Linked DNA regions of Macaca mulatta. The protein of the gene in region 1 interacts with the protein of each later gene in a pairwise test. Links are inferred from orthologs where the notes say so. Each region holds a gene or a part of one and is shown on either strand. Other genes may lie near its edges.

What was found. The genes of interacting proteins can lie anywhere in the genome.
Region 2: the proteins of GET3 (region 1) and GET4 interact in binary tests that used the Homo sapiens proteins (3 or more experiments, as listed by UniProt). The link is inferred for Macaca mulatta from reciprocal best matches to the Homo sapiens genes GET3 and GET4.
Region 3: the proteins of GET3 (region 1) and ASPH interact in binary tests that used the Homo sapiens proteins (3 or more experiments, as listed by UniProt). The two-hybrid records come from large-scale screens. The link is inferred for Macaca mulatta from reciprocal best matches to the Homo sapiens genes GET3 and ASPH.

The regions. Positions count from the first base shown.
Region 1 is NC_133424.1:13,292,140-13,298,496, reverse strand, and holds the start of GET3 (ATPase GET3), read right to left. Parts: upstream 4,039-6,357; 5' UTR 4,030-4,038; coding exon 3,869-4,029; intron 3,037-3,868; coding exon 2,889-3,036; intron 1-2,888.
Region 2 is NC_133408.1:34,831,263-34,837,077, reverse strand, and holds part of GET4 (Golgi to ER traffic protein 4 homolog), read right to left. Parts: intron 4,239-5,815; coding exon 4,100-4,238; intron 2,996-4,099; coding exon 2,855-2,995; intron 2,849-2,854; exon of another isoform or gene 1,857-2,848; intron 1,823-1,856; exon of another isoform or gene 696-1,822; intron 436-695; coding exon 360-435; intron 276-359; coding exon 203-275; intron 1-202. UniProt on the Homo sapiens protein: As part of a cytosolic protein quality control complex, the BAG6/BAT3 complex, maintains misfolded and hydrophobic patches-containing proteins in a soluble state and participates in their proper delivery to the endoplasmic reticulum or alternatively can promote their sorting to the proteasome where they undergo degradation.
Region 3 is NC_133413.1:72,126,270-72,132,084, forward strand, and holds part of ASPH (aspartyl/asparaginyl beta-hydroxylase), read right to left. Parts: intron 4,663-5,815; coding exon 4,571-4,662; intron 4,205-4,570; coding exon 4,071-4,204; intron 1-4,070.

The sequences.
Region 1 (6,357 bases):
ACCCTCATCTCTGCTGAGGAAGTGCCCCAATTCCTCCTGTTTCCCTCCCAGTCCTTGACCCTGGCAGCACCCAAGTCCTGGGTCTGTATACTGGATGGAGCTCATCCCACCTGAGGACTGTCCTCTGCCAGCATCCTCACTCTGCAGCATCTCTTTATTTTATTTTTTATTTCTTTATTTTTTTTGAAATGGAGTCTTGCTCTGTCGTTCAGGCTGTAATGCAGTGGTGCCATCTCAGCTCACTGCAAGCTCTATGTCCCGGGTTCACGCCATTCTCCTGCCTCAGCCTCCCGAGTAGCTGGGACTACAGGTGCCTGCCACCATGCCTGGCTAGTTTATTTATTTATTTATTTTTGAGATGGAATCTCACTGTCGCCCAGGCTGGAATGCAGTGGCACGATCTCGGCTCATTGCAACCTCTGCCCCTCCGAGTTCAAGCGATTCTTCTGCCTCAGCCTCCCAAGTAGCTGGGATTACAGGCGCCTGCCACTGTGCCCGGCTAACACCTGGCTAATTTTTGTACTTTTTTTTCTTTTTTTGTGAGACTGAGTCTTGCTCTGCTGCCCAGGCTGGAGTGCAGTGGTGCGATCTCGGCTCACTGCAAGCTCTGCCTCCCAGGTTCACGCCATTCTCCTGCCTCAGCCTCCTGAATAGCTGGGACTACAGGTGCCCGCCACCGCACCCGGCTATTTTTTTGTATTTTCACTAGAGATGGGGTTTCACTGCGTTAGCCAAGATGGTCTCAATCTCCTGACCTCGTGATTCACCTGTCTCGGCCTCCCAAAGTGCTGGGATTACAGGCATGAGCCACCGCGTCCGGCCTTTATTTTGTTTTTTGAGACAGATTCTCCCTCTGTCACCCAGGCTGGAGTACAGTGGCGCGATTTCGGCTCTCTGCAAGCTCCGCCTCCCAGGTTCATGTCATTCTCCTGACTCAGCCTCCGGAGCAGCTGGGACTATAGATGCCTGCCACCATGCCCAGGCAATTTTTTTTTGTATTTTTAGTAAAGATGGGGTTTCACCGTGTTAGCCAGGATGGTCTGGATATCCTGACCTTGTGATCCACCCGCCTGGGACTCCCAAAGTGCTGGGATGACAGGAGTGAGCCACCGTGCCCAGCATTTTTTTTTTTTTTTGAGACGTGGTAAAACCTCGTCTCTACTAAAAATACAGAAATACAAAAATTAGCCGGGCATGGTGGTAGGCACCTATAATCCCAGTTACTCTGGAGGCTGACGCAGGAGAATCTCTGTCTCCTGGGTTCAAGTGATTTTCCTGCCTTAGCCTCATGAGTAGTTGGTATTACAGGCACCTGCCATCGTGCCCAGCTAACTGTTTTATTTTTTTATTTTTTTGAGACAGAGTCTCGCCCTGTAGCCCGGGCTGGAGTGCAGTGGCCGGATCTCAGCTCACTGCAAGCTCCGCCTCCCAGGTTTACGCCATTCTCCTGCCTCAGCCTCCCGAGTAGCTGGGACTACAGGCGCCCACCACCTCGCCCGGCTAGTTTTTTGTATTTTTTAGTAGAGACGGGGTTTCACGGTGTTCGCCAGGATGGTCTCGATCTCCTGACCTCGTGATCCACCCGTCTCGGCCTCCCAAAGTGCTGGGATTACAGGCTTGAGCCACCGCGCCCGGCCCTGTTTTATATTTTTAGTAGAGACAGGGTTTCACCATATTGGCCAGGCTGGTCTCGAACTCCTAACCTCAAGTGATCCGCCCACCTTGGCTTCTCAAAGTGCTAGGATTACAGGCGTGAGCCACGATGCCCAGCCCTCACACAGCTTTAAATGCCAACCTTGGGACAGTGACTTCCAAATGAATGCCAACCTCCTCTGGGCTCCAGACTCACATAAACAAGCTATTGTCATGATGTTTCCACTTGGATTTCCAGTGGGCACCTCAGATTCACTGCGGAGAAAATGAAATTCTTGATTTGTCCATTCTACACCTACTCCTTTCCTAGTTTTCCCCATCCTAGCTGCTTAGAGAGACAAGAAAGACATGTAATCAATTCATTTCTTTCTCTCACCCATTACAACCAAGTAATCTCACTGGCTTACTTCCAAAATACATCCCTAGTGCGATGTGGTGGCTCATGCCTGTAATCTCAGCACTGTGGGAGGCCGAGGCGGTCAGATCATTTGAGGTCAGGACTTCAAGCCCAGCCTGGCCAACATGGTGAAAATCTGTCTCTACTAAAAATACAAAATTAACAGGCAGTGGTGGGGCATGCCTGTAATGCCAGCTACTCAATAGGTTGAGGCATGAGAATTGCTTGAACCTGGGAAGTGGAGGTTGCAGTGAGCCTAGATCGGGTCACTGCACTCCAGCCTGGGAGACACAGGATTCCTGAGTGTTTAAAAAAAAAGAAAAAAATCTCAAATCTGACTATGTCTCCCCCAGCATTCTGCCTCCACCAGAGTCCAGGATGTTGTCATCTCTCAACTGGTTACATCCCCAATCTCCTTGTTAGTTTCCATGCTTCTACACTGACTGACAATTAAATCTCCACCTGGCCATCAGAGGGTACTTTTCAAACATGAATTTGGCCACGACACTGCCCTGCTTAAAACAAACAGCTTTCCATTGAACCTGGAGTCAATGCCAAACTTCTTACCGTGGCCCATAAGGTACCACACTTTGTGGCTCTGATTGGTCTCTCCAACTTCTTCTTCCCCTACCCTGGCTCAATAAGCTTTAGGCACTCTGGTGTGCTTCCCGCTCTGCAATTCCTCATTGGTTCTCTTGTGAGTATGTTGAGGAAGGGGTGAAACAGGAGAGACACAGGATAAAGAGTGGATAGGACATGGTGGCTGCTGGTGTGTGCACACAGGAAAGGCTGGAAGAGGCCTTTCCCAGAAGTGGGGGCTAAGCCCTGCTCCACTCACCATAGCAAAGAGGTTGTCATAGCCTTTGACCTTAGTAGGCACCTTTGAGAACTTCTGGTCAAAAGCATCTGAGATGTTGTGAGCTGGGTCTGTGGAGATGATCAGCACACTCTCACGCCCCTTGGAGAGCTGGACTGCCAGACTGCAGCTGGGTAAAGGAAAAGTAAAAAGACAGGGGATGAGGGGTTGGGCTCTGTTCCCTGGGTCTGCAAGGGTAGTGGTAGTTTCCCTGGAGCAGGTGACCCGGATCAGCAGGGGCCTTGAGAGGAGAGTATGGGTTACGGTGGGATTGAGCCTCAATCCCTACAAAGGAACCCTCTCTGATTTATCTACTGACCCTTCTATGTGGACTAGAGAGATAAGGTTCAAATGACTGAGTATGTCTGGCCTAGTGCCTGCTGCTTCTTTGCTGGGCACACAGTGGCATGGCCCAGCTGTCCAGCCAGCATAGCTTGACTCCGTGCTCCCTTCTTTAATAAGCTAAGGGATCCCTTGCACTCCCTGGTAAGCACAGGATGGTTCGGTCCACTTGTCCAGGATAATCTGCCGCATGGACACCTCCTGCCTGTAGCTGCCTGGGACAGTCTGATCATGTGCCCTCTCCCTCGCTTTCCACCCTCACTCTCGCCTTGGACATAAAACACCAAGGTTTACCAAACTAGGATTGCTTGTTCTGGTGCCGCCCCTACCCACAACTCTGGATTCACTCAGGTACGGTCCAGCTGATGGGGACATCTAAGTGCTTCCCCGTCCCCCGGGCGCTGCACTTGAGCCCCAACATGGATGGTCCAATTCAGAGGGTGCTAGGGCTGCATTGAAGAGGTCTTTCTCATGTGCTCCAGGTAACTTCCAGAGAGTGAAACCCAAAGACCCCCGCCAGCCCCCTTGCCCGGGTCGTGGTGGAAAAGCCGGTCCTTGGCCTCCCCTTCGCCCAGTAGTATATCCTACACGCCTCCTGGCCCCCGCCGCAGCCTCCTTACCTGCAGGTGGTCTTGCCCACTCCACCCTTGCCCCCGACGAAGATCCACTTCAGGCTGCGCTGCTCGATGATATTGCTAAGCGTAGGCTCCAGCGGCTCCACATCAGGCGCATCTTCGAACTCCTCTGCCTCAACCCCCCACCCGGCCACCCCTGCCGCCATCTTGGAACTGGCTCACGTGATCCAGCGGAGCGCACCATACGAAGCACCTACAGGGGAAATTCTCTATCACATTCCTATCGAGGCTAGAAGCATAAGTTAATTTCCTCATTACTTCCATTTTAGGAGAAATATAAATTACATTTTCACTATTCTTTGCTTCCAGGGTTCACCTTGTCAACCTCTGGTCTATAATTTTCCAAGGGCTCCCCCTACCTAATGAACACATCGGTACGGTCCAGGCTACTCCCCTTCACTGATTGGGCCCTAAGTCTCGCAGCTCTCCTTTCATTGGCTACATCTTTTCTTACGTCCACCAATCACTCTCATGCTCCGGTAGCGCCAACCTCTCCTTAGCAACCAGCCAAACACCCAGTCCATGCCCTTTCGGTGAAGTTAGATTCCCGGTCCGCCTTGGCCTCCATAGGCTCAACTTTATGTCCATCATTTTCCCTCTATTATTCACGTTAGGTCCCAACCTCGCCTCAGGTCCGCCTCCTCTATTATTCAATAGGCTGTGAGCCACTTGGCTCTTGCCGCAAACCAATCATAGACAAATTGACTCAGTTGGCTGGCTATAGGTCCCCGGGCTGACAGTGGGTTAGAGTGGGCGAGTCCAGAGTTTTGTCCTGGACGCCCTGATCTCCCATGCCTAGCAGGCACCATGCCTGTAATTGCGCTCCGTTTGGTAGAAGGGACCCTAATTCCTAAAAGCCGCCTTGTATTTCAAGAGAAGACTCCAGTATACCATATTTCATGTTTGAACCTCTGTCCTGGAGCAGGAACACAAGCTGGGTTCCAGGCCCTTGATGGAGACCCCAGCCCATGACACTCTTAACTTTAGAGGGAGATTAGAGCCTAGAAATAACCCCAACTTCATCTGAATACTACAGCTCATAAACTAATCTGATTCTCTGGCCGGGCGCGGTGGCTCACGCCTGTAATCCTACCACTTTGGGAGGCCGAGGCGGGTGGATCACCTGAGGTCAAGAGTTCAGGACCAGCCTGGCTAAGATGGTGAAATCCCGTCTCTACTGAAAATACAAAAATTAGCCGGGCGTGGTGGCACGCACCTGTAATCCCAGCTACTCAGGAGGCTGAGGCAGGAGAATCGCTTGAATCCGGAGGGCAGAGGTTGCAGCGAGCCGAGATTGCGCCACTTCACTCCAGCCTCGGTGAAAGAGTGAAATTCTGTCTCAAAAAAAATATTTAATTAATTAAAAATAAATAAATAAATAAATAAAATAGGCCGGGCGCGTTGGCTCACGCCTGTAATCCCAGCACTTTGGGAGGCCGAGGCAGGCAGATCACGAGGTCAGGAATTCAAGACCAGGCCGAGGCAGAAGAATTGCTTGAACTCGGGAGGCGGAAGCTGCAGTGAGCTGAGATGACACCACTGCACTCCAGCCTGGGCGACAGAGCGAGACTCAGTCTCAAAAAATAAAATAAAATAATAATAACAATAACAAAATTAAAAAAAAAAAAGCTGATTCTCAGACGGGGACCTCAGCTCCACAGAGCCCCTATGTCCCCCAAAAATGTGAGCTTTATCCAGAGATGAGTACCCAACCCAAAGATACCCCTATTTTTACTTGGGGGGCCCAGGCTACACATGCTCTCTATTCCCTAGTTAGGGACTCAAGTTCCCAGGTGTCAGCTGAGTACACAACCCCAAATGAGGTCCTTCCCCTCACAGAGATTATTATTGGTGTCAGACGGGGATTCTAGCCCTGGAAAACGAATCTGTTCCCAGCCCCAAGTGAAACCAACTCCAGAGAGCAAGCTACAGCCCCAGTCTCAGACGACAGTCTCATTCCCCGGGAGCCCCAGTCTGGGAAACACCAGCCCGAGTACCGCTGAATTTTGAGCACCCGAGAGGCAGGGCTCGGTGGCTCATGTCTGGAATCCCAGCACTTTGGGAGGCTGAGGTGAGAGGATTGCTGGAGCCTAGGAGTTTGAGAACAGCTTGGGCAACATGACAAAACCCTGTCTCCACAAAAATAAATAAGTAAGTAAATAAATAAATAAACCAGGCATAGTGGCGCATGCCTGTTTTCCCAGCTACTCGGGAGGCTTTGGTGGGAGGCTCACCTCAGCCGTGAGAGGTCGAGGCTGAAGTGAGCCGTGATCAGGCCTTTGCACTACAGCCTCGGAAACGGAGTGTGACTCTGTCTCCAAAATAAAACAAAACAAAGCAAAAAACCAAAACAAAAAAAACAGCAAGACTTATCCCGATGGCTCACACCTGTAATCCCAACACTTTGGGAGGGGAGGCCAAGGCAGGAGGATCGCTTGAGGCCAGGAGTTCGAGACCAGCCTGGGTAATATAGC
Region 2 (5,815 bases), on another chromosome or scaffold:
AGTGGAGACGGGGCTGGGAGGCACCGTGCTAGAATTCTCTACTCTAAAATATAATTTCCTACTAACAAAAAAAAGTTGAGAAACATTTGAAAGAGCAGAAAATCACTTCTACATGAAGGACCGCACTGGCCCTGCCTGGGCAGATGATGACCCCACACCGACCCAGGGCTGCAGTGGGCGTGGCAAGGGCGCCCCAGCTTACCGAGCAGGCCTCCGTAGGAAGACGTCTGCTTGGGCGGGACGCCAAAAAACAGCTGTCCTATGCGGTCGAGGTACTGCAAGGCAGAGGCAGCAGGCTCAGGAGCCGGCAGACCCAGGCCCTGGGGTCCCCTCCTCCCTCCCCAGCCCTGAGCTCTCACCTCGTTGTACATCGGGTCACGCCGGAGGGATGGCTGGTACTGCTCACATAGCACAGTGAACACCGTTAGCTTCCCACTGGGACACAGAGACACAGGGATGTGCTAGGTGAGAACAGGACCACACTCACCTGCACACACCACCGCGCCTACACCTGGCACTCACCAGCACACACCACTCACCTACATCACTCACCTGCACACACCACACCTAGACCCAACACTCACCCACACACACCACCGCGCCTACACCCACCTGCACACCACTGTACCTACACCCAACACACACCCGCACACACCACGCCTACAGCCAACACTCACCTGTACACACTGAGCCTACACCCAACACTTACCTGTACACACCACCGCACCTAGGCCCAACACCCGCACACACTACTGTGCCTAAACCCAACACCTGCACACGTCACACCTACACCACTCACCTGTGCACACCACTCACCTGCACACACCTACACCCATCTGCACACACCACTGCACCTATGCCCAACACACCTGCACACACCACCGCGCCTACACACGTCACCTGCACACACCACCACGCCTATATACACCACTGCACCTACACCCAACATACACCTGCATACACACCTACACCCAACACTCACTTGCACACACCACTCACCTGCATACACTGCGCCTATGCCACTCACCTGCGCACACTACCGAGCCTACACCCAGCACTCACCCGCACACACCACTCACCTGCCCACACCACTGCGCCTACACACACCTGCCCACACCACTCACCTTAACACCCCCGTACCTATACCCAACACACACTTGCACACCGTGCCTCCACTGCACACCCGCACACACCACTGCACTTACGCCCAGTTTACCCACACACACCGTGCCTATACCCCACTCACCTGCACACACCATTAAAACATACACCACCACGCCTACACCCAGCACTGACCTGTGCACACCACCGCACCTAGGCCCAACACACCTGCACACACCACCGTGCCTACACACAACTCACCTGCGCATCACTCACCTGCACACGTCACACCTACACCACTCACCTGCGCACACCACTCACCTGCACACACACCTACACTCAACACTCACCTGCACACACCACCGTGGCTACACACAACCTGCACATACCACGCCTACACCAAACATGCACCTGCACCCAACACTCATTTGTGCACACTTACCTACACACCCCACCGCACCTACGCCCACCACTCACCTGCACACCCCACCGCACCTACGCCCACCACTCACCTGCACACCACCACGCCTACACTGCACACCTGCACACACCACCGTGCCTACACCCAACTCACCTGCGTACACAACTGCACACACCACCATGCCTGCACCAAACACCTGTAAACACCACTCACCTGCACAAACCACCGCACCTACTCCCAACACTCACCTGCACACACCACCGCGCCTGCACTGAACACATACCTGCACTCACCACTCACCTGCACTGAACACATACTTGCACTCACCACTCACCTGCACTGAACACATACCTGCACTCACCACTCACCTGCACACACCACCGCGCCTGCACCGAACACACACCTGCACACACCACTGTGCCTACACCCAGCACTCACCTGCACACACGCCTACACATCCAACACATCTGCACACACTGTGCCTACACCCAGCACTCACCTGCACACACGCCTACACACCCAACACATCTGCACACACCGTGCCTACACCCAGCACTCACCTGCACACACGCCTACACACCCAACACATCTGCACACACCGTGCCTACACCCAGCACTCACCTGTGCATACCGCCACACCCACACCTAACACCTACAAACACCCAGATGGCTACCCATGCCATGTCTACACTCAATACCTGCACACGTACAGCAACCCATATTGCCACGTCTATACCCAATACACCTGCACGCCCCCACGCAGCTACCCACACGTCTACAGACAACACACCTACACACCACACACCCACCCTCACCATGTCTACACCCAACACACATACTTGCACGTACCCCAACACAACTACCCACACCAGACACCCCATACCTACACACACTCCCCCCTCTACACCTACAACACACCTGCACACATCTACACACACCCACACCACCACATGGACACCCAGCACCTGCACACACACCCCCCACAGCTACCCACACCATATCGACACCCAACTCACCTGCACACAACCCCCCACACCATCACGTCTACACTCACCCACCCCTGTACCCACAAGTCTACACCCAACACTCACCTGCACACACCCACACTACAGCACATACACCCACACAGCTACCCACACTACCATGTCTACACCCAACAGCCCTGCACACACACCCATACCACGTCTACACCCAACACTCATACCCTATACATATACCCACACAGCTACCCCCACCATGGCTACACTTGCACGCACACCCACACAGCTACCCATGCCACGTCGACACACAACACACATATTCACACCCCACCCCCAAGACACCAAGACGCACCCGTCCACAGCCAGCAGCAGGAACCAGATGAAGTTGAGCAGCGGCTCCACAAATGGAGGCCCGTCCTCGATGGACGGGTGCTTCTGGGTGTATGTCGTGAAGACCACCGACGCGCTACTTTTGTTTTTTAAACAGAGAAACCTGGAAATGAGAACATGCTGGTGGTGGAAGGGCTGGAGAACATGGCTTCTGGCCGCACAGGCGCCAGCCTCTGACACATCCTTCCCAAGCTCGTGCGCCCATGGGTCCCGCGGCCCCCGGCACGGAGGAACCCAGTGCTTCACACGTGTCTCCCCTCACGTGCAGGGCATACTGGGGAAGCCTGAAATTCACAGGTGAAGAGAACGAAGCTTGGGAAGGTCACCAGGCTCTGGAGCTGGGCCCCAGCCTGAGACTCAACTATGCGATGCACTGAGCAAGCTCTCCTCTCCTCAGGCTGCCCGCACCAGAACACTCAGTCACGGCACAGCAGCTGGCGGGTGCCACACAGACCCTGGCTCCTGTTCGAGGAGGGCCCACGGGGAGAGCTCAGTGTCCCAGGGGCAGAGCCACTGTCAGCCCAGAGAAAACGTGTACGCAGTGCGGTGCAGAGCCAGGGAGCTCCAGGTTTGACCCAGCTTTTCATCTAAGTCACGGACGCCAGCTCCTGGCAGAGCTCTGCAGTGCGCACCACCGAGGTCAGAGGGTGTCTGTCCCCAGATCCCACGTTAACTCCCCAACGCCCGCCTTGAAATCCACATTGTTCTGTGGGAAGAAACTGATGGACACAAATAACGCTTTCATGAGAAAGGAAGCGGAGGCCAGCGCCTGGAGCAGGAGCGCCTGGAGCTCGGCCTGCAGGATGCCCCAGAGAGCTGGCGGGAGGGGCCGCGGGGTAGATGCTCACCATTCTATGACCTGGGTGTGCATTTCCGCTTTTCCAGATACTGCGGGAAGGCAGAGGCTGAGGCAGGCCTGAGGAGAGCAGAGGCCGCGGGGCCTCCCGGCAGCGGGCAAGAGGCGCAGTGTGGAGGGCGCTCCAGTGCCCGTCGGGAAAGGGGGAGTTTCTAAGATACTTCTTGAAACTGGTTAAACTTATGAATAATCACGGGTGACTCTGGCTGACAAGTGCGCTGTGGATTCTGCCCAGAGTGAACTCAGTTTATCCTGCAGCATGGCTCGGGCAGGGGACAAGGGGACCTGCTCTAAGGCCGCCCGGCCAAGGCAGCGATGGAAGCCAAGACCCAAAGAGCCACAAACACCTACTGTAGCACGGCCTGGGCCACGAACATGTCCACCTCGCTGCGGAAGCCACGGGACGTAGAGTATTCCACCAGCATGTTGGCACAGCCCTCCCCATCCGCCGAGTGCAGAAAATGATACCGCGACTCACAATAGTTTTGTTCTGCAAAGGAAACACAGAAAAATTTGAATGCATTTCATGAATATAATATAGAACAGGAAAAGTGGAAAGATACTCTATGTTAATTGTAGTCCACCTGCCTGCCCTGGAGAAGAGCCCAGCCAGAGCCCACAGGCAGAGGTACCCGATAGGGACTCAGAGCCGGCCCAAACCTCACACACAGCACCAAATAAACAGATCACCAGGGAACAGTCACTCAGCCATGCAACACCTTCATCCTCCAAGCTCTCAGAGCTGCTTAATCCAATCACATTAACGTGCGTTGTAATGATCAGTTACAGAGTGTTAACATGGGACCCTCCCCACCTACCAGAAGCAACTTATAGGGAGCAATGTAATCAGGGCCTAGGCCAGTGCATCTAGCATGTAATCAACAGTCAAAACCAGCCTGATGTACTCACCACACTGACCCAACGATCAACCCTTGATATCTCAAAGGCACACTCCGCTCCCAGGCCCCGTCCTAACACCCGCTCACACTCACTCCGCTCCCAGGCCCCGTCCTAACACCCGCTCACACTCACTCCGCTCCCAGGCCCCGTCCTAACACCCGCTCACACTCACTCCGCTCCCAGGCCCCGTCCTAACACCCGCTCACACTCACTCCGCTCCCAGGCCCCGTCCTAACACCCGCTCACACTCACTCCGCTCCCAGGCCCCGTCCTAACACCCGCTCACACTCACTCCGCTCCCAGGCCCCGTCCTAACACCCGCTCACACTCACTCCGCTCCCAGGCCCCGTGCATGCCTTGGGAGCACAGCCCTTCCCGTGGTGCAGATCTCAGCACTCACCAGGCGCCTGCCTCTCCCACCTAGTGGGCCCTTTCCCAACTGCGTTGCCCAACAGGAGCCTCCAGGGCCCTCCTGCTGCCTCTGTGGCTGCCAGAGTCCTTGTCACCTTGCTTTGTCTCCTGTTGTCTCCCTACATTCCCAAACCTTTACCTATGGGTGTGATTTCATCCCCAGGAGAGAAGCACCAGGGAAGCACATAGCCCAAGTATCGTGGAGCCCCAGCCTCAGGTCCTGTATGGGGCCTGTGCTTAGGACAGCAGAGGCCGTGCGTGGCCACCTTGGCATGGAGCAGGCCTGGGCTCCCCGGGTGAGGTCCATCGAAGTCTCACAGCACTGTCATGCTGTCGGGGACCTGGGCCCGCGCCTACCCCAGTGGGAGGCAGCCAGGGTCCCTCTTCAGAGAATCTCTGCAGATGCAACGAGCACAGCCCTCCCACGCGCTCCCTGGACTGCCTCGACCTAACCCCATGGTGGGTGGGGAGATAGACACGTACGTCCCTCATGATCGCTTGTGCCTGTCTTAGGAACTGCCATGCAGGTCTCCTGGGCACTGGGCATCACCTGTCCCACGCCACCCACTGCCTGGCTCTCCCCACAGGGCCTATGCGCAGGTGTGGCAAGGGCGGCCACCCAGTGTTGACGTAGGTGTTCCTGACTCATCCAAAAGACGGGCGACAGCTCCCAGGCAGGGTGTGGGGGCAGCTCCTGACTCCCCAACCTGGCAGTGGGACCCACACAGGCGGCAGCTCGCTATGCAGGGCAGAGGA
Region 3 (5,815 bases), on another chromosome or scaffold:
AAGTGGAGAAGGGCTGCTGACCGGCAGTCACAATGAGGCAGAAGGGCACCTGTGCTCAGCAACTCTTCAGGGAGGAAAGGACGGAAGCATTGTAGTCTCCCTGGCCCAATAATAGGCAGGTGAGTTGCAAGCACTTTTAAATAATCACTGTGGATTTGCAAAATACACCATCTGCAAATTATTATTATCAGCAGCTCCTTCCTGTCACACAAAGTAGGTTGTATTTTACCTCAGCAGAAACTGAGGGGCTGCCAAGTTAAAGATCTCATTCAAGGCCCCCCTCTGAGTGGGCTGCAGTGGTCCTTCTAACCCTCTTCTGCCTCTGCTAGGTGAAGATGGTTAAACCTAATTATGTTTTAAGCTTCAGGGGAGGGGTTGGCAGTTGTTTTCTTTATCAAACATGGACACAAGGTGTTTCCTGGGAGCCGGGAGTGGGGAATGCACCTACAAATGTGCTCCTGGGCAGGTCTCTCAGCATCACTCCTGCATTTGTTTTTTATTTTTTTTTAAAGAGATGGGGTCTCACTATGTTTGTTGGAGTGCAGTGGTGCAATCATGGCTCACTGCAGCCTCAAACTCCTGGGCTCTAGTGATCCTCCTGCCTCAGCCACTGTAGTGGCTGTGACTATAGGCCCATGCCACCATGCCCAACATGCGTCTTGAGCCCTCTGTGACTTTGTGCTAAGCCTCCTGGCACCATCCACCTGCTCCTGTTCTTGATTGCCACATCCATTCTTCCAATCTTGGATTTCTCTTTCTGCCTCAGGCCACTGAAGACTAAGCTCAGTTCCATCTCTCTTCCTCTCCCTGCCTATGCCTAAGTAGATTTATCATTATTATTATTTTTTTAAGACAGGGACTTGCTCTTTCACCCAGGCTGGAGTGCTATGGTGTAATTACAGCTCGCTGCACCCTTGAACTCCTGGGCTCAAGCAATTAACCTGCCTCTGCTTCCTGAGTAGCTGGGAGTACAGGTGCATGTCATCATGCTAGCATATTTTTTTTAAAAGTTGTTTTTGTGACTGGGCGTGGTGGCTCATGCCTGTAATCCCAGAACTTTGGGAGGCCCAGGCAGGCAGATCCCGAGGTCAGGAGATCAAGACCATCCTGGCTAACACGGTGAAACCCCGTCTCTACTAAAAATACAAACAAATTAGCCGGGCATGGTGGTGGGCACCTGTAGTCCCAGCTACTCGGGAGGCTGAGGCAGGAGAATAGGGTGAACCTGGGAGGCAGAGCTTGCAGTGAGCCGAGATCACCCCATTGTACTCCAGCTTGGGCGACAGAGCGAGACTCCGTCTCAAAAAAAAAAAAAAAAAATTGTTTCTGTGGAAATGGGGTCTTACTGTGTTGCTCAGGCTGGTCTTGAACTCCTGGCCTCAAGCAATCCTCCTGCTTTGGCTTCCCAAAGTTCTGGGATTATAGGCATGAACCACCTTGCCTGGCCCTAAGTGGATTTTTCTCTAGTGATTTTGTTCCAAGTATCTACAAGCAGAATACAGAAGAGAATGAGGAAGGCAAGAATGCAGGAACATGGGGAGGCAGGGAGGCAGGGAGGGAGAGAAGGAGGGAGGCAGGCAGGCAGAAAGGAAAGAAGGGAGGGAGGAGGAAGAAAAGGAGGGAGGGAGAGAGAAAACATAGGAGGTAGGAGGTGAGGGAGAGAGCGAGTGAGCTGGTGAAAGAAGAAATAAACCCTAAAAGCCTAAGGAGCACTGAGGCGTGTGGCTGGGTGCTCTTCTCCATCTCCACTGCCTCATGCTCTCATGTGATCTCCAAGGAGTTACCTTGTCAATCTGTGCCTGCTCCAGCATTCTCCCACCTCTTCTCTAAATTCCTGGCATCCCCCAATGTGTCCCTGCTCTTTTTCACTTTGGCAGAGAGACCGTGAAGACCCAAACCAGGTTCCCAACGTAAGACAAGATTCATTTCATGCCTGAAAAAACTTCTACCTGTCCAGTGATCCCTGATTCCTCCTCCTGGTCTACCTGATTCTGCCTTTCTTGCCCCATTTCCTTCTTGGTTCTCCTTCCTCCTTCTGTCTTTTAAATATAGATGTTTTCATGGAACCTTTTCATTTCTGTCATCGTTTGATTGTCTCAAGCGTCCTCTAGAAGTTCTTGCTAAGCGTGACTCTCAAATCTTTATCTCTAGACTTACATTCTCCCCTGAGTGCCAGGTCTCTATTTCCAGCCACCTCCTGGATGGTTCTACAAGTGTGTTCCAATAGTAACTAAATAAAATATGCACAAGCACTGAATTCCTCTTCCTTTCCTTGAACTTGCCTCATGTCTCCCAAATTCCCAAGATTTGCTCAAGCATCGCCACCCTACACTGTCCAAAGACTGCAATTGCAGCAGCATCTTGGATGCCTCATTCCTGTACCACACATTCAAGAGTCACCTGATATCTCTTGCATCTGCTCTCTAGTCTCCATTTCTTTCCAGCATCCCAATTCCAGCTCTGCTTATCTTTTGGGTGGGCCACTGTGATAGCCTGCTAATTGTTCTTCCCACTGTCCCCACAGGATTCACCCATGGGTTCCACAGTAACTTCCTAATAAAGGTCTGATCCCATTAGTTTGGGATTCAAAGCCTCCTATGATTTAGTTTCTAAAAAAGACTCTTTCACTTTGCAACCTTATTCTTTATGTAGCATACACTGCTGGCTGCTGATGTATTATTCAATATTCTTCATATGTGGCCATACTTTTTGGCCTCTGTGCCTTTAATGGATACTGTTTCGGAATATCCCTCTTTAGCTTTCAATGTTCGAATCCTTCTTGTCTTCAAAAACTGCCACTCTGCAAGTTGAGTCCCTGCAAGCAGGTGAGGCTCCTGCTCATGGAGCCATCTGTAGTATTTTTAGCTTTTCTGTAGAGAGGCCATTGTAGTACCACTTTTACGACCCCTATGGCCTTCAATCTTGCGTTATCTTCCTGAGCAACACACCCAGCAGAGGACGGCCCCTTCTCAGTCATCTCTGAATTTCCCATAGCACCATGGGCTGCCCAGGGCACTTATCTGCCAATAACCAAATAAACAATTCTGCAGACCCCTGAGCACTCATCCTCCACTCAGACCTCTATTAAGGACAATAAGAAATGTGTGTAAGATGACAATAACGTGGTTTCTGATCTCCAGGAGCTTACATACAGCTTGCTATAGAGATAAGGGTAATGTTATATTAATGAATAAAGAGCATTAGAAGATAGGGAATGGGATTACTGAGGATATATACTCTGAGAGGTTGTATTTTTATAAAACTAATTTTGGATAGGTGAAAAGATGGGCATTCTAGGGACGGAGATTATCAGCACCACAGGTACAGAAGCCAGAGCAAGTATGGTTTGTTCAAAAGATCATGAATAAACCTGTCATGATTAGGAAAGCAAGAGGCAAGGGAGGGAGAGGAGATCTAACATTCATCACGTCCCTACTGATACCAGAACATGGACTGAGCACCTTGTAGACATTATTCCAGTTAATCCATACAACAACCCTGCAAAGTAGATGTTATCACTGCCAATTTTATAAGCAAGAAGGCTGATGTTTGAAGGGATTAAGTAACTAGCCAAGGTTACACAGGTTAGGTGGCAGAGCTGGGATTTGAAAAAGGCAGCCAGCTTCCATTGTACCATACCATCTCCTCTAGATCAAAATGTATAAATATCATGGGGTGAGTTCTTCAGTTAGGGGGACTTCTTGTATTCATGAATAAGTCAGGATGCAATGCAGGAAACACAATGCATAACATCTGCAGGGCTCAATGCATGCTGGCTGACTCTGAATGCACATCTGTCTACCCACAGAGAGAAACAAGGCAGCTCCTCAACTAGATAAGTACTCTGCTGAGAAATAATGGAAGAGGGCAGCCCTAGAGCTGGGCAATGTCTCCAGGCTAACAGAAAGCACCAAGAAGGGGTATAGACTCAAGAGTTTGGATTAATATCACTTTGCTCCAGTCTGCTTCAGCTACAAAAGAAGACAAGTAATCCAAGGGAACACAGCTCTGTTGTAACAAACTCTCATCCTCAGAGGTGATGGATATGATGGATAACAGAGGACACATACTTGGTCTCATTGGCACATCGAATCTTGCAGCCTTCCTTGGGAATCACCAAGCCCAGGTGCATTCGGAGCCTGCAGTTTGTGGGCCCTGTGTGCGGCCACACGTGAGTCCCAGGGTGCATGATGGAATATTTGATCTGCATAGAACACATGACACTCCATTCAGCCATTTATCAAGGTGTGGAGGAACTGCTAAGTTAAGGTGACAGTAAAAAATTACTGTCAGTTTGGATTAGCGCCTTTGTAAGATTTAATATTTATATTCAAGTCTTATTTGTGAAGGAACTAAAAATAAGCACTCACATTTTCCACAAAGCGATAAACACTGAACATTTTCCACCCTCAATTCTGACGTCAACCACATAAAATTATGTTTCAGTAAAAAGGGCACGTAAAAAGAGGCATTCACTGGGCCAAAGGAAACAACCATTTCTTTGTAAAGGTCAACATGCCCTTATTCCTAACAATTAATTGTGTTCTCCCCAGCACGACACTCTTGGTACCTGTCCTCTTCTGCATCCTGTTGTCTCGGGGAACTTTTCTAGTAAGGTACAGGTTTTAGGAGCTCCTTTGCAGGCATTTTCATTTCTTCTTCCTAGAATAAATAACATAACTGTTGGAAACAAATCACAGTAAAGCTTAAACGTATCCCATTTAGATGAAGTGAGAGCTATATGTCATCTTCACTGCAGGCATGAGAAGATTGAGTAAACATGAGAAGATAAAGTAGGAATGCAAAAGGCTTATTGGAAAATAATAAAAATTAATCAATAAAGAAGACATGTCTTGCTCCAATAGGTAGTGACTGGCAGAGCAGGGAGCCAAATTCTCCACTCGGTGTTGGACTATTTGACTAAGAACGTCTAACGGACAAGTCGCAGGTTAAAGGCAGTTGACCTTGAGCAACACAGGGGTTAGGGGCTTCGATCCTCCATGCAGCCGAAAATCTGTGTATAACTTTTGACTCCCTAAAAACTTAACAACTAATAGCCTACTGTTGACTGGAAGCCTTACCCTATATCATAAATAGCTGATTAACATATTTTGTATGTTATATGTCTTATATACTCTAGTCTTACAATAAAGTAAGCTGAAAAAAAGAAAATGGTATTAAGAAAATAATAAGGAAGAGAAAATACTTTTACAGTACTGTACTGTATTTTATCGATACCATAAGTTTACATCATCTGTTTACAAGATGAATTGAATGTCTGAAATGGCCTGCAACTACAGGTACAGACCTTAATCTACAGTACATATCAAGTAATTCAACTTTTTCTTGTAGGGTCATGACTTTTCTCTGCTTCTTGGCAGCATTTCCAGCATCACTAGTTGCTGTTTGTATAGGTCTCATGGTGTTATTCGAGGTTTGCAGCATTACATTAAACACAAGGAAAAATACACAAGAACCATAAGAGACCACTTTTTACCATGATACGCAATTTACTGGAGATAGGAACTGCTCAGATGGAGACAACAGTATCACATGTTATTTTAAGCAGATACTCAAAACACTTGAGCTTGCTGAATAGCAACAGGAGGCAGCTATGAAATTGTTACAGTAGTATAATCTGTACTACAGTTAATTTAATGGAATTATGATTTAACACTGCATCTTTATGTTTGTTTACATTTCTCTTGACTGTGAATGGTGCTATGTATGGTCTCTAAGTGCTTCCATGCATATGTTGATAAATTTTATTTCTTTATAATAGATTTGTGTGTATATATATATATAGTAAATGATA